Rattus norvegicus: one gene and its partners. The protein of the gene in region 1 interacts with the protein of each later gene in a pairwise test. Links are inferred from orthologs where the notes say so. Each region holds a gene or a part of one and is shown in the gene's direction. Other genes may lie near its edges. The genes, in order: Tmem79, Sln and Sftpc.

Region 1 (3,825 bases):
TTCCAGCAAGCTGTCCTGACCTCCACACACGAGCTCTGTAGCACGCTCCCTGCCCCCAAAATAAAATTAATCTTAAAAAAAAATTGAAGTTTCTAGGAGAGAAGAAAAGAGATCGTAGAGTGCAAAGCGCTACATGGGACAGCTAGGGGCTGGAGAAATGACTACCCACATGGCAGCTCACAACCATCTGTAACTCGAGCTCCAGGGTATCCGAAGCCCTCATACAGACATGTATAGAGGCAAAACGCCAATGTGCATAAAATAATAAAATGAATGGACCAGCTGTCATTGAAGCAGAAATTGCAGAAGAGGAGCAGTGAAAAGATTTTAAGATCCGGAGGTAGTGGAGGTCTGCACTGAAACAGTATTTGCCAGACAGAACAGCGCTGTCAACAGGAGCTCACCTGTGACTGCATGCACAAGGTCAAGTCAGCCAAAATCCCAGCACGCGTGTATTGTGGGAAGGCTCATGAAGTATCCCAACGCCTAATTGAGGAGCTACTAGAAATTGATGGCTGCTGAGAAAGAGCCGGTTTTTGCTTGTTTTTTTAAAGGAATTCCTCAGAGACGCTACATTTATTTAGTATGTGTGTACATTTGTGGATGCATGTGTTCTACAACATACACGTGGACAGAGAACTTGGGAGAGTTCTCTGGGGATCAGACTCAGGTAGTCAGGCTTGATAGTAAGTACCCTTACCTGATGAGCCATCTTGACAGCCCTATTGCTTTCTTAACCACAAACCTAAGTAAGCTAAAGGGGTCTTTGGAGTCCTGCATATACAGACATTATAGTGGCAATGTATATACCACTATGCTCCCGGCTCCAGCCACCAGGTCTCCTTTCTATTCCTCAAACTGCCTCAAGTCTTTTCCATCTGTTGACTTTTGACCCGCAGTTCCTCTGCAGGAAACTCCCGTTGGGTTTCAGCTTCAGAGGCACCTTAAAGAGGCTCTCCCTACTGAAATTCTACTGATTTAGTTCACAGTAAAATTAGTGTGAACTTTAATGTCTGTTACCTGAACAGCTAGAGACCTTGTCATTTTGTTCTCTTCTGTACTTGTGCCTAGACTAGCACCTTTCTGTTTGTTGGAATGTGTGTGTGTGTGTGTGTGTGTGTGTGTGTGTGTTTGAGACGGGGTCTCTACATAACTCCAGCTACTGGACCAGCCTGGCTTCAGACTCACAGAGATCTGCCGGCCTCTGCCTGCTGTCCTGGGATTAAAGGCTTGTACCACCACAGAAATAGCACCTTATTAATAATCAATACTCAATAAACATTTACTAGATAAACAAACTTGCAGTGTTATCTTTTTCACAATTTACTTTAAACACCCTTTGATACATAAACCCACTTTTATACCCTGATGCTTCCCTGAGCTGGAAGCATGTGCCCAGCTGCACCCTTACTTTCAAAAAGGATGACGTTGTCCTGTACAGCCCTTCCAGTAGGCAGATTCTGCAGGACAGGGCCTGTGCCTTTAATCTGAGCCCCACCTGCTCTGGTCAGACAGGTTTTGAGACAGGCAAGGGGAGGGAGACTGGGAAATACTTGCAGAGCCAGCCAGAAGCTAGGCAGTTCTTTTCCGGATCCTCTGCCTCTCTGCAGATGTAAAGTAAGAGGGTATCATGGGTCCAAAGGGCAGGGGTAGGAGGGGCCCTTGAGGTGAAGGAAGAAAAGAGCCTTATCCAGAAGCAGTGAGCTGGAGGGTGGCAGGGGAGGAAAGAAAGACATGGGAAAGGGAGACATGGGAACCACCGCCACACTAGAGCTGAGAGTCTGAGTGGAGCCCAGCCCAGCCGAATTGGGTGAGACTGGCAAGGGGAGTTTGGAAAATGGTTGGCTCCTGGTGTGGAGACTAAGGAACTGAGTATCTCAGTTGCCAAGAGTCCCAGGTAGGGATCGGCAGGGCAAAGGGCAGGTGGAAGGGTGAAGGCCGGCTTCTGTCTAGGATGATCCTTGGCTGTAAGGAAACTCAGCCGAGTCCTAGACACCTCAGCCTCCCATTCCAAAGCTAGGGTGGCCATGAATCCAGGAGTTTTTGGTGGAGAGAGTAGAAGGCAAGTGTGGACATAGACCGAGGCCTTAGCTGCCTCTGCTTGTGCCCCCTGATTCACCCTTGTCCTGCTGGATGACATTTATTTGGAAAGTTACCCACCATTTCACTCTTCTGCTCCGCCTCTCTGTTTCAGCACTGTGTTCTCCCTACAGTCCCACGAGGCCGGCTGCTCTGGGGAGTTCTAGGTCTGAGAAACTGTACTAGGGCCAGAAGACAAGGTATTTTCACAGAACCTCCCCCACTCCCTATAGGATGACATCGCCTTGTGGTAGATCTCAGAACTGAAGCCTCATAATGACAGAACCGGAGACACTGGCCCTGCTGGACATGAAGGACACTGAGATTTCAGAGAAGAGCCCACCGCAGGCTTCAGTCCTGCAGCCAGAGGAAGAAGGTGGGACTGAGTCCCCTGGAGCTGAGTCCCTCAGAGTGGGGTCTTCAGTAGGGTCTCCTACAGTCAGAGAGGGGCCTGAGGATGGACCAGACAGCACAATAAGTGAGGCTGCCACTTTACCTTGGGGAACTGACCCCCATCCCAGCGCCCCACTTCCGGATCCCCCGGGCTGGCGAGATATTGGGCCAGAGCTCCTAGAGTCAGAAGCACCTATTAAGTCGGAGGAACCACTCAAAGAGGATGCCAACCTGCTCCCTGAGAAGACAGTTAGGGCCTTCGTGCCCATTGACCTACAGTGCATCGAGCGGAAGCCTCAGGAGGAGCGCATCAAGCATCGTGAGGCCGGACCAGGCGAGCTCAGGAATTTCTTGCCAGCCCGACTCAGCCACCCTGAGCCCCCAGAGCGCAAGTGGGCTGAGGCAGTTGTGAGACCCCCTGGCCGGTCCTGCGGGGGCTGTGGAAGCTGTGGAGGCCGTGAGGCACTGAGAGCTGTAGCCTCGGTGGTGGCTGCCCTCATCTTCTTCCCCTGCCTGCTGTATGGAGCATACGCCTTCCTGCCTTTCGATGCTCCAAGGCTGCCCACCATGAGCTCCCGCTTGGTCTATACCCTCCGCTGTGGGGTCTTTGCCACCTTCCCCATCGTGCTGGGTGAGTCTGGGCCGGTGGAGAAGGGCTACCTGGGAAGCAGACTAGAGAGGTTTGGATTGGGTGGTTTCTCTTCATTATGCTGGAACTACTGAGGGCATCCCAAACCTGCCACTCTCTGCCCCCAACCCCGTCTCCTCCAGGGAGCTTGTGTGTCCACTCAGTAGCCCTGACCTCATTCCAACCCTCCTGTCTTTTCTGACCCCGTGTGCTTCCTTTCCTGCCAGGGCTCCTCGTGTACGGGCTGAGCCTATTGTGCTTTTCTGCCCTTCGGCCCTTTGGAGAGCCGAGACGGGAAGTAGAGATCCACCGGCAGTACGTGGCCCAGTCTGTGCAGCTCTTCATCCTCTACTTCTTTAACCTGGCTGTGCTTTCCACCTATCTGCCCCAGGACACGCTCAAGCTGCTCCCCCTGCTCACCGGTCTGTTTGCCATATCTCGGTGAGTAGGGGCTGGGGCGGCCATGGCTAGGGTAGGCGTGAGGGAATTCATGATCCCAGATCCTCCAGGGAGCTTGCAGGTCCGCAGCCCTGAGGTCGGGGATGGAGGTCGGGGATGGGAGTCGGGGGTGGGATGTTTCTGGATATGCACCATGCACCGACGAGCCTGCTCTGTCTGCTGAGCTGCACTGGGTAGCAGGTACTCAGCTCTTCTCTCCCTTTTAGAGGTTGGTCTCAGCTGTGCCAAAGGGGAGCTTTCGACTTACATATTTCCTCACATCTAAG
Region 2 (3,825 bases), on another chromosome or scaffold:
CTGTCACTTCAGCAAGCTATCGTTTTACAAGACAAGTGGTGACAGAATGTTGTAATTAGACTACCCTTCGATGGGCTCATGTTGAAATAAAGCAATGCAATGGAAAATCCTTCTTTTATTGGCGCCCCTGGGGAGGTAGGGATGGCGAGAAAGGCTTGACCATGGATACAAACACGCAGAGAATTGTGTTCACCCCTGCCTTCTGGGAATGACTTATTTTTATTAACCCTAACTGGGGACTATTAGGGGAGATTTAACCTATTATTCTTAAAGATGAGTTTTACTGAGGAGCACAGTTATGGGAGTCATATTTAAATTCCTCAATTGATGGCTTTCAAATCCATTTAAACATGTTAAAGGCTTCACTTACTTCCTCTAACCTGATTTGTTACAAACTCATCCTTGTCTGATTTGCGCCAGTGTTCGCTGTTGAAAATGATGTCACTTCATTTCTTTAACTCTACGGGCTGGTGAGGATGCTCAGTGGTTAAGAGCACTTGGTATTTCCCCATTGGTCTAGGATTTGAATCCTGGTACCCACACAGGGGCTCACAATTGTTTGGAACTGGACGATGCCCCCTCCAGCCTCCCAGGTCACTGTACACATGTGGGTTCACACACACACTTACCTTCAGGTAAAATAGTCATATAAACACAAACTACAACACAAAGGAAATAAAAATGATATATTCTAGATATTTCTATCTAATCTAGAACTCACATTCCCACTAGTTTTGACCAGGTTTACTTCTAACCCCCATTTAGCCAAAGGCCTGGGTTTTGCTGTCTGTTTCACTGCTGTGCTAGTTTAACTGACACGGATACAAGCCATGGCTCCCATGGCTGTTTCAGGAGAGATCGGCTGAACATGTAACCTCACTGTGCATTGCTTCGGTGGAAAGTTATGTGCAGCAGGTGATGGGGTTGGGAAGGGGGATAACTTCTATCGCTAGGATAAAAATCAGCCTCGAAGGAGACTTAAGGGATTCTGGAGCTCGGTGTGAGAATGTGGGAACAAGGTAGAGAATTCTCTACATTTCAAACAGCTAATGACTCAGGTGATGACGTGAAATTACATTTTTATAGCTTCCTGTGTCCAGTGGTGAAGACAGCTTATTTGTTAAAGCTGGTCTATCGCTCTTGCTTTCTGGTGTTCTGAACATATGATTGGGACATTTATAAAGTGGGAAAAGATGGATTTCAATCCCACATCACTGCACCCAAAGTAGGCTGGGAACAAGAGTCTTCACACCCCCGTGTTGTTAATTTAAATTGGCAGCCCAAGGAGCAGAGCCTTGGCTACCATAGTTCCATGTCCCCCTGAATACAAATAGGCTGGAACCCTTGGAGCTTGTCCCTTTGAGATGTCTCTCCAGTGACATCACAGTGATTGTCACCTCCCTCAGACTACATTAGGCCCTGCCCAGAGTCCAGGAGCTCAGACAGCCGGGGAGACAGCTGGAGTTGGAGAGATTGAGGTCCACGGCAGCCTGGGTGTGTCTTTGCTTCTCTTCAGGTAACAGCAAATCTTTGTACTTAGCAATCTCTTCCTGTCTCTGTCTCTCTGTCTCTGTCTCTCACCGTGTGCAATTTTCAAATAAAAATGTTAACTGATGCTTTTATTTCCCAGGGGAACAGGTAATCACCACAGAGTGCATTTTTTGAGCGCGAACTGAATATTGATTCCTGCTTTTCTTTGATATACATTTTCTCTTTTTCTAATTTTATATTTTCCCTACACCCCAGAAAAAAAAAAACCAATGTCAAATTCCTTGTACAATTTGGTGCTAGTTTGTAAGACTTTGGCCCATGCACAGGACGGCCATTTTGACTCACAGAGAAGGCAAAATAGGAAGCCAGAGCACGTGTGTGGGCTCATAGCAGAGACATAGAATATGGGTGATCGAATGACTGCCTAATTCTGCTCATTCCTCTCAAAGGGTGTGGATGTGTGTGAAAGTAAGATCCCAGACTGCATTGCCATAGACTTTGATAGAATTGCACCCATTGGGAATTCATCAGACTGGAGTTCTGTTCATATACATATATATATATATATATATATATATATATATATATACAAATATTTAAGGTTTCCATCAAAGTAAAAGAAATAGCAGAGGTTAAACCAGAGGAAAGAGAAGTGTGGTGCTCAGCCTATAGTCAGAGGGGATGAAAAACATGAAGAGTAGAAAAGATTCAAGCAGCTGAAACACAAATTATAAGAAACACCAGCCTCACTACCATTTACCAAGAAACAGATCGTTGGCGGCACCCCAGAAGTCCATTCCAAATCATTTCCCTTCTGCCTTCTGTCTCCAAGCATGGAGCTTGTCTGTCCTTCCTTGTTTTGAACTTTTACCACCGTGTTTGTGTTCCTAAGCAACACGATTAAGCTCCTGGTGCCTGCCCTTGTGTAAATGGGGTCACATTCTCAGCTCCTCTTGTAAATCCTCTTTTCATCCCACAGGTATGGTGTGAGATCCTTCCATCTTGCCCTGTATAGCTAGAGTAGATCATATATTTTCTTTACTCCACAATATTCAAATGAATGTGAATGCCATGATTACCCATTCTACTGCTGGTGGCCAGAGCTTTCCAATATGTGGTCTTGGGGGTTCATGTTCAGGATTCCTTTGCTGTGAGCACTTCACCTAACAGCCTCCCCCTCTCCTCTGAACGCTCACGAGCATTCTCTTCCCTTTTGCTACCCACTAATTTTCTTCTGCTTACTGTCTCTTCCAGACAACTGTCTGTTAAAGTTTTCACTAGTAATTGACAATGTCCATCATGCTAAGGGCCGAAAGAGAGATAAGAATTAAAAGGGGGAGGGGCTGGCAAGATTGCATAACAGAAAAGGCATGGCTGACAAGCTTGATAACCCGAGTTCAATCTCCAAGTCCCCCAGGGTGGAAAGAGAGAACTAACTCCTGAAACTTGTTCTCTGATCTCTGCATGTGTACTGTGACACACAAGTGTCTCCTGCACCAGCTGCATACATAAATAAACACAATAAAAATCAAGAATGAAAGGGAAAGGAGCCATAAATCAATCTTCATTGGCTATATTTAAAATGAGATTCTATAATGTGGAACAAACCTGCTTATTATACTCAAAATTATGTAATAAAAGCTGATTATTCCGCTGGTATCTATGCAATTAATAATTTGGTCCATTGATGATGCAACAAATACAACAGGTACAGTTAATTCAGTCAGGCCAAAAGTTGCTACAAAGCTGTTGCCCTTAAACTTTGACTTTTTGCAAACCAGTATTCTTTCCAGCTGAATTTTTCTTCTGTGCTATAGTCTTGTCCTACAGTAATAGTATCTGCTTAAATCATTTAAGATACAGAAGATTTAAATTTTAATTTGATTATATAAACCAAGCATCAGTTTACTACTTTACCAAAAATGAGTAACCTGATTGACAGCATCACCTGCCCTCTTGGAGGACACTTTCCTGCATGTACGATCCGTATGCACGGTGAAGATGCCTTCTGTGCTGTCTAAAATGTTTACAATCTAGGCACATCCTGAGCTTGACTAAAAATAGCTGGCACAAGCCCCTGTTGAAACAGAAATGCTCATGAGGTTAACACTTGTTCTTTGGACTGAATACCGGTTGTGCGAGGGACTTCTGGTTGACCTCTGCAGGTTTTGTGCCAGGATAGGCTTGTACAAAGCCGTGCAGCTGTTGGAGCTTCTTTATGCTTTCACCAGGGTTGGATGAAGACCTAAGGCAGCTTTAAATCCGAAAGATGATGTTATCCCGCTCCTAAATGTGATCCAAAGAAAGGGCAATGCTAAACTTTAAGGTTTGCTT
Region 3 (3,600 bases), on another chromosome or scaffold:
AGGAGGACAGAAGGGTAGAAAGGACAGTAGAAGGGCAGAGATGGCTGGGACCACAATCAGTCCTGTGCAAGGTCATCTTGGCTGAAGAAAATGTCAGGAGCTAAGGATGTGGCTCGGCAGTTAGATGGCTTCCCAAGCATGCTCACGACCCTAAGTTTGATCCTCAGCACTAGAAAGATGGGATAGACCACCAGAACATTTGTACAGACAAGCCCAGAGCAAAGAACAAAACAGTACTCATCACCCATGAGTAATAGTTTCCCATCAGTGGGGACAGAACTTCCAGAATTAGGAAGCAAATCTGAGGTGAGGGACAGCATGTGTGGGAGGAGGTTGGGTAAAGAGGAATCCGACCCTAAGAAATCACATTAATGGACCCCCAGGTGCTGTCCCAGGCCCAGCTCCTCCACCAGCCACCTCTCCAGCCTCATCAACAAGCGCCACTTTCTCAGTCCCTGAATGGAACTCGTGTCTGGGCCTGAGGAGGTTATCTTGTGAAAAGGGATGGCCGGATTCTTGGCTGCCACCAGAACAGTTTGGCCTGTGAGAAGAAGAGAAGCCACAGGGCTGCAGGGGCAGGTGCCAGCAAGAAAGGCAGACATGCCAGAAAGACACCCACGGTGAGAGGAGCATGTGGCCTGAGGGTGAGTTTGCTTACCTCATCCAGGTTTGCTCTCCTTGTGGCCAAGAGGATTCATGTGCCTAGGCCAAGGGCCCTTGGGGGCTCTTGCAGCTGGCTTATCAGGGCCTAGGCTCTGAAAAGCCAGGAACAAACAAGCTTCAAAGCCAAGGACTTGGCTGGCAGACAGGAGACCCAGTCCTTCACCTCTGTCCTCTCTCTCTCTCTCTCTCTCTCTCTCTCTCTCTCTCTCTCTCTCTGATGATATATATAAGACACTGGTCACACCAGAGAGATGAGGAGAGGAGAGAGAGACCTTACAAAATGGACATGGGTAGCAAAGAGGTACTGATGGAGAGCCCACCGGTGAGTGTGTGTGTGTGTGTGTGTGTGTGTGTGTGTGTGTACAATTGTACACACATAGTATATTGGATTTGCCTGTCCATCCCCCACTAGGCTTTTTTCTTTTTCTAGACTCATATACTCAACTAGCTTACGGGTGGGCTGCTAGGACAGAGATACCATGATCACTAAGTCCTTGGCAGAGGCAGGCATGACAGCCATGAATTCCTGAATAAAGGTGTTGAGAGCCATAGAGGGATCAATAGAAAGGACTGTGAAGAACATTGATAGTGCCACCAAGTAATTGGGAGGCTATAGGGAGCATCACAGAGCAAATGACATGAGGCCAGAATGTGGACCAATGGTTAGAGAGCCTCGTAAGCATGGAGACCTGAGTTCAGTCTCGTTCTACATAATCCAGGCATGGAGGTGCACACAGTTTGGAAGTGTAAGCAAGATAATCATTCAGGGTTATCCTTAGATAAATAAGGAGTTGAAAAGCAACCTGGGTCATAGATATATGGTTTTAAGAAAAGGATGGCTCAGTAGGTAGTGGTGCTTGCTACCAGATGTGGCAGCTTGAGCTTAATCTCTAGAATTCCCTTGGTGAAAGGAGATGAAACTTGTTTCTGACTTATACACACACATACCATACACACATGCACCCTCATGCATACCACACACATGCACAAACACATGCACACTCACACTACACATGCACATGAACAGGCACACATACTAAATAAGTAAATGTAAAAAATATGAAGATGGCACATGGACTGAATTGGGAAGGGACAAAGGGGATATAAAGGCATGGAGATGGCAATACCTGGATCCTTTGAGGGAACAAAAACTCTGCCTATGTCTGGGCGGCCAGGCGTGTTGGGAAAACAGAACAAGAGATTGGTAACTGGCTCTCTTGGATTATTCCAAACATAGAGTTTGCTTCTAACTTTCTAAGTATCTATGGCTTTTGTTAGAGTCCAGACACCTTCCCCAAAGCCTTCCTCCCCAAAAACCTTCTCTGATCTTCCCAGCCCTTCCTTGCACACTCAAAGCCTAAAGGGGCATAAGAGGGTGTCCCGCTTGTACAGGGAGAGAAGAGTCATCCTTGCACCCACCCATTTGTCTCTCTGCTTTCCTTGCTCTCCCAGGATTACTCGACAGGTCCCAGGAGCCAGTTTCGCATTCCCTGCTGCCCCGTGCATCTCAAACGCCTTCTCATCGTGGTTGTGGTGGTAGTCCTTGTCGTCGTGGTGATTGTAGGGGCTCTGCTCATGGGCCTTCACATGAGTCAGAAACATACTGAGATGGTGAGCAGACAAGAGCATATCTGGTGACACAAGCGGAGATGAGGTGGCCATCCAGCATAGATTCTCTCCCCTAGGCCCTGGCCTAGTGTAACCACCACCAGCTGTTCCAACGCAGGAAAGTTATGTTTAGCCTTCCTGAGATCTCAGGGAAGAAGGAATTGCATTTGAATAGAGGATTCTGAGTAGATATGGGCACCAAAAGGCTGAAGGAAGAAAGAGAAATGTCAGACCACATTCTAACACCCTTCCCCTAGGTCCTTGAGATGAGCATCGGAGGAGCACCGGAAACTCAGAAACGCCTCGCCCTGAGTGAACACACAGACACCATCGCTACCTTCTCTATTGGCTCCACTGGCATCGTTCTATATGACTACCAGCGGGTGAGGACACCTGAGGGACCACCAGGACTTTACGGGAACTGCCCAGTTGTAGCATTTCCAGAGCTCTCCCCATTCTGTGCCTGCCTGCCACATCTCAGAGGCTTGATTTAAATGTGTCCCCCATGAACAATCTACAGGGAGTTAGTTGGCTGAGAACCAGGGTTGGGGAGTAGGCGAGGCAAGGGGACATCATAAATGACCTCCAGTGTTACATGCCTAGCTCCTGACTGCCTATAAGCCAGCTCCAGGAACCTACTGCTACATCATGAAGATGGCTCCAGAGAGCATCCCTAGTCTTGAGGCTTTGGCTAGAAAATTCAAGAACTTCCAGGTGGGTGTGTGAGGGAAGAGAGAGAACTGTCTCCCTCCAAGGGCTGAGTAGAGGGACATTTTAAAGAATGACTAGTCCACCCTGTGTAGTATTGATGCTCCTGGACCAGACATGTTCTTCTCTCTACATGGGCCTGTGTCCCATCTTCCCTACCACCTCTCAGGTGACCTGCTAAATTGCTGGCCTTGGCTGAGCTCAGACATACATCCCCTACAGGCTTCTGTTTCCAACCCAGTCCCTCTCCGAATTAGTGAGGAAAACTGACCCTCCTGAATTTGCCTTATCAGTTTAGTGTCCTGCACTAATGCAGGTGACACTGAAAGCAAGTGCTCTTTCCAGGCCAAGTCCTCCACACCCACCTCTAAGTTGGGCCAGGAAGAAGGGCACAGTGCTGGATCCGATTCTGATTCTTCTGGGCGAGACCTGGCTTTCCTGGGCCTTGCTGTGAGCACCTTGTGTGGAGAGCTACCACTGTACTATATCTAGCACCCCTCAGGTGAGCAACAGTACCTTTCGGGATGCCTGAGCAACACTGGGAGGGCTTGGGCTGCCTGCTTTGTCAGGGGACCTACTAGGGATCTGATCTCTTGAAGTCAGCGGTCTCAGGGAGCTCGA

Evidence for each region.
Region 2: the proteins of Tmem79 (region 1) and Sln interact in binary tests that used the Homo sapiens proteins (3 or more experiments, as listed by UniProt). The two-hybrid records come from large-scale screens. The link is inferred for Rattus norvegicus from reciprocal best matches to the Homo sapiens genes TMEM79 and SLN.
Region 3: the proteins of Tmem79 (region 1) and Sftpc interact in binary tests that used the Homo sapiens proteins (3 or more experiments, as listed by UniProt). The two-hybrid records come from large-scale screens. The link is inferred for Rattus norvegicus from reciprocal best matches to the Homo sapiens genes TMEM79 and SFTPC.

Annotation. Positions count from the first base shown.
Region 1 is NC_086020.1:176,098,592-176,102,416, reverse strand, and holds the start of Tmem79 (transmembrane protein 79), read left to right. Parts: upstream 1-1,546; 5' UTR 1,547-1,617; intron 1,618-2,194; exon of another isoform or gene 2,195-2,213; 5' UTR 2,214-2,355; coding exon 2,356-3,103; intron 3,104-3,327; coding exon 3,328-3,541; intron 3,542-3,825.
Region 2 is NC_086026.1:63,138,229-63,142,053, forward strand, and holds the start of Sln (sarcolipin), read left to right. Parts: upstream 1-1,493; 5' UTR 1,494-1,516; intron 1,517-3,825. UniProt on the Homo sapiens protein: Reversibly inhibits the activity of ATP2A1/SERCA1 and ATP2A2/SERCA2 in sarcoplasmic reticulum by decreasing the apparent affinity of the ATPase for Ca(2+). Also inhibits the activity of ATP2A3/SERCA3.
Region 3 is NC_086033.1:52,006,552-52,010,151, reverse strand, and holds the start of Sftpc (pulmonary surfactant-associated protein C), read left to right. Parts: upstream 1-943; coding exon 944-985; intron 986-2,115; coding exon 2,116-2,274; intron 2,275-2,528; coding exon 2,529-2,654; intron 2,655-2,874; coding exon 2,875-2,985; intron 2,986-3,324; coding exon 3,325-3,471; 3' UTR 3,472-3,481; intron 3,482-3,600. UniProt on the Homo sapiens protein: Pulmonary surfactant associated proteins promote alveolar stability by lowering the surface tension at the air-liquid interface in the peripheral air spaces.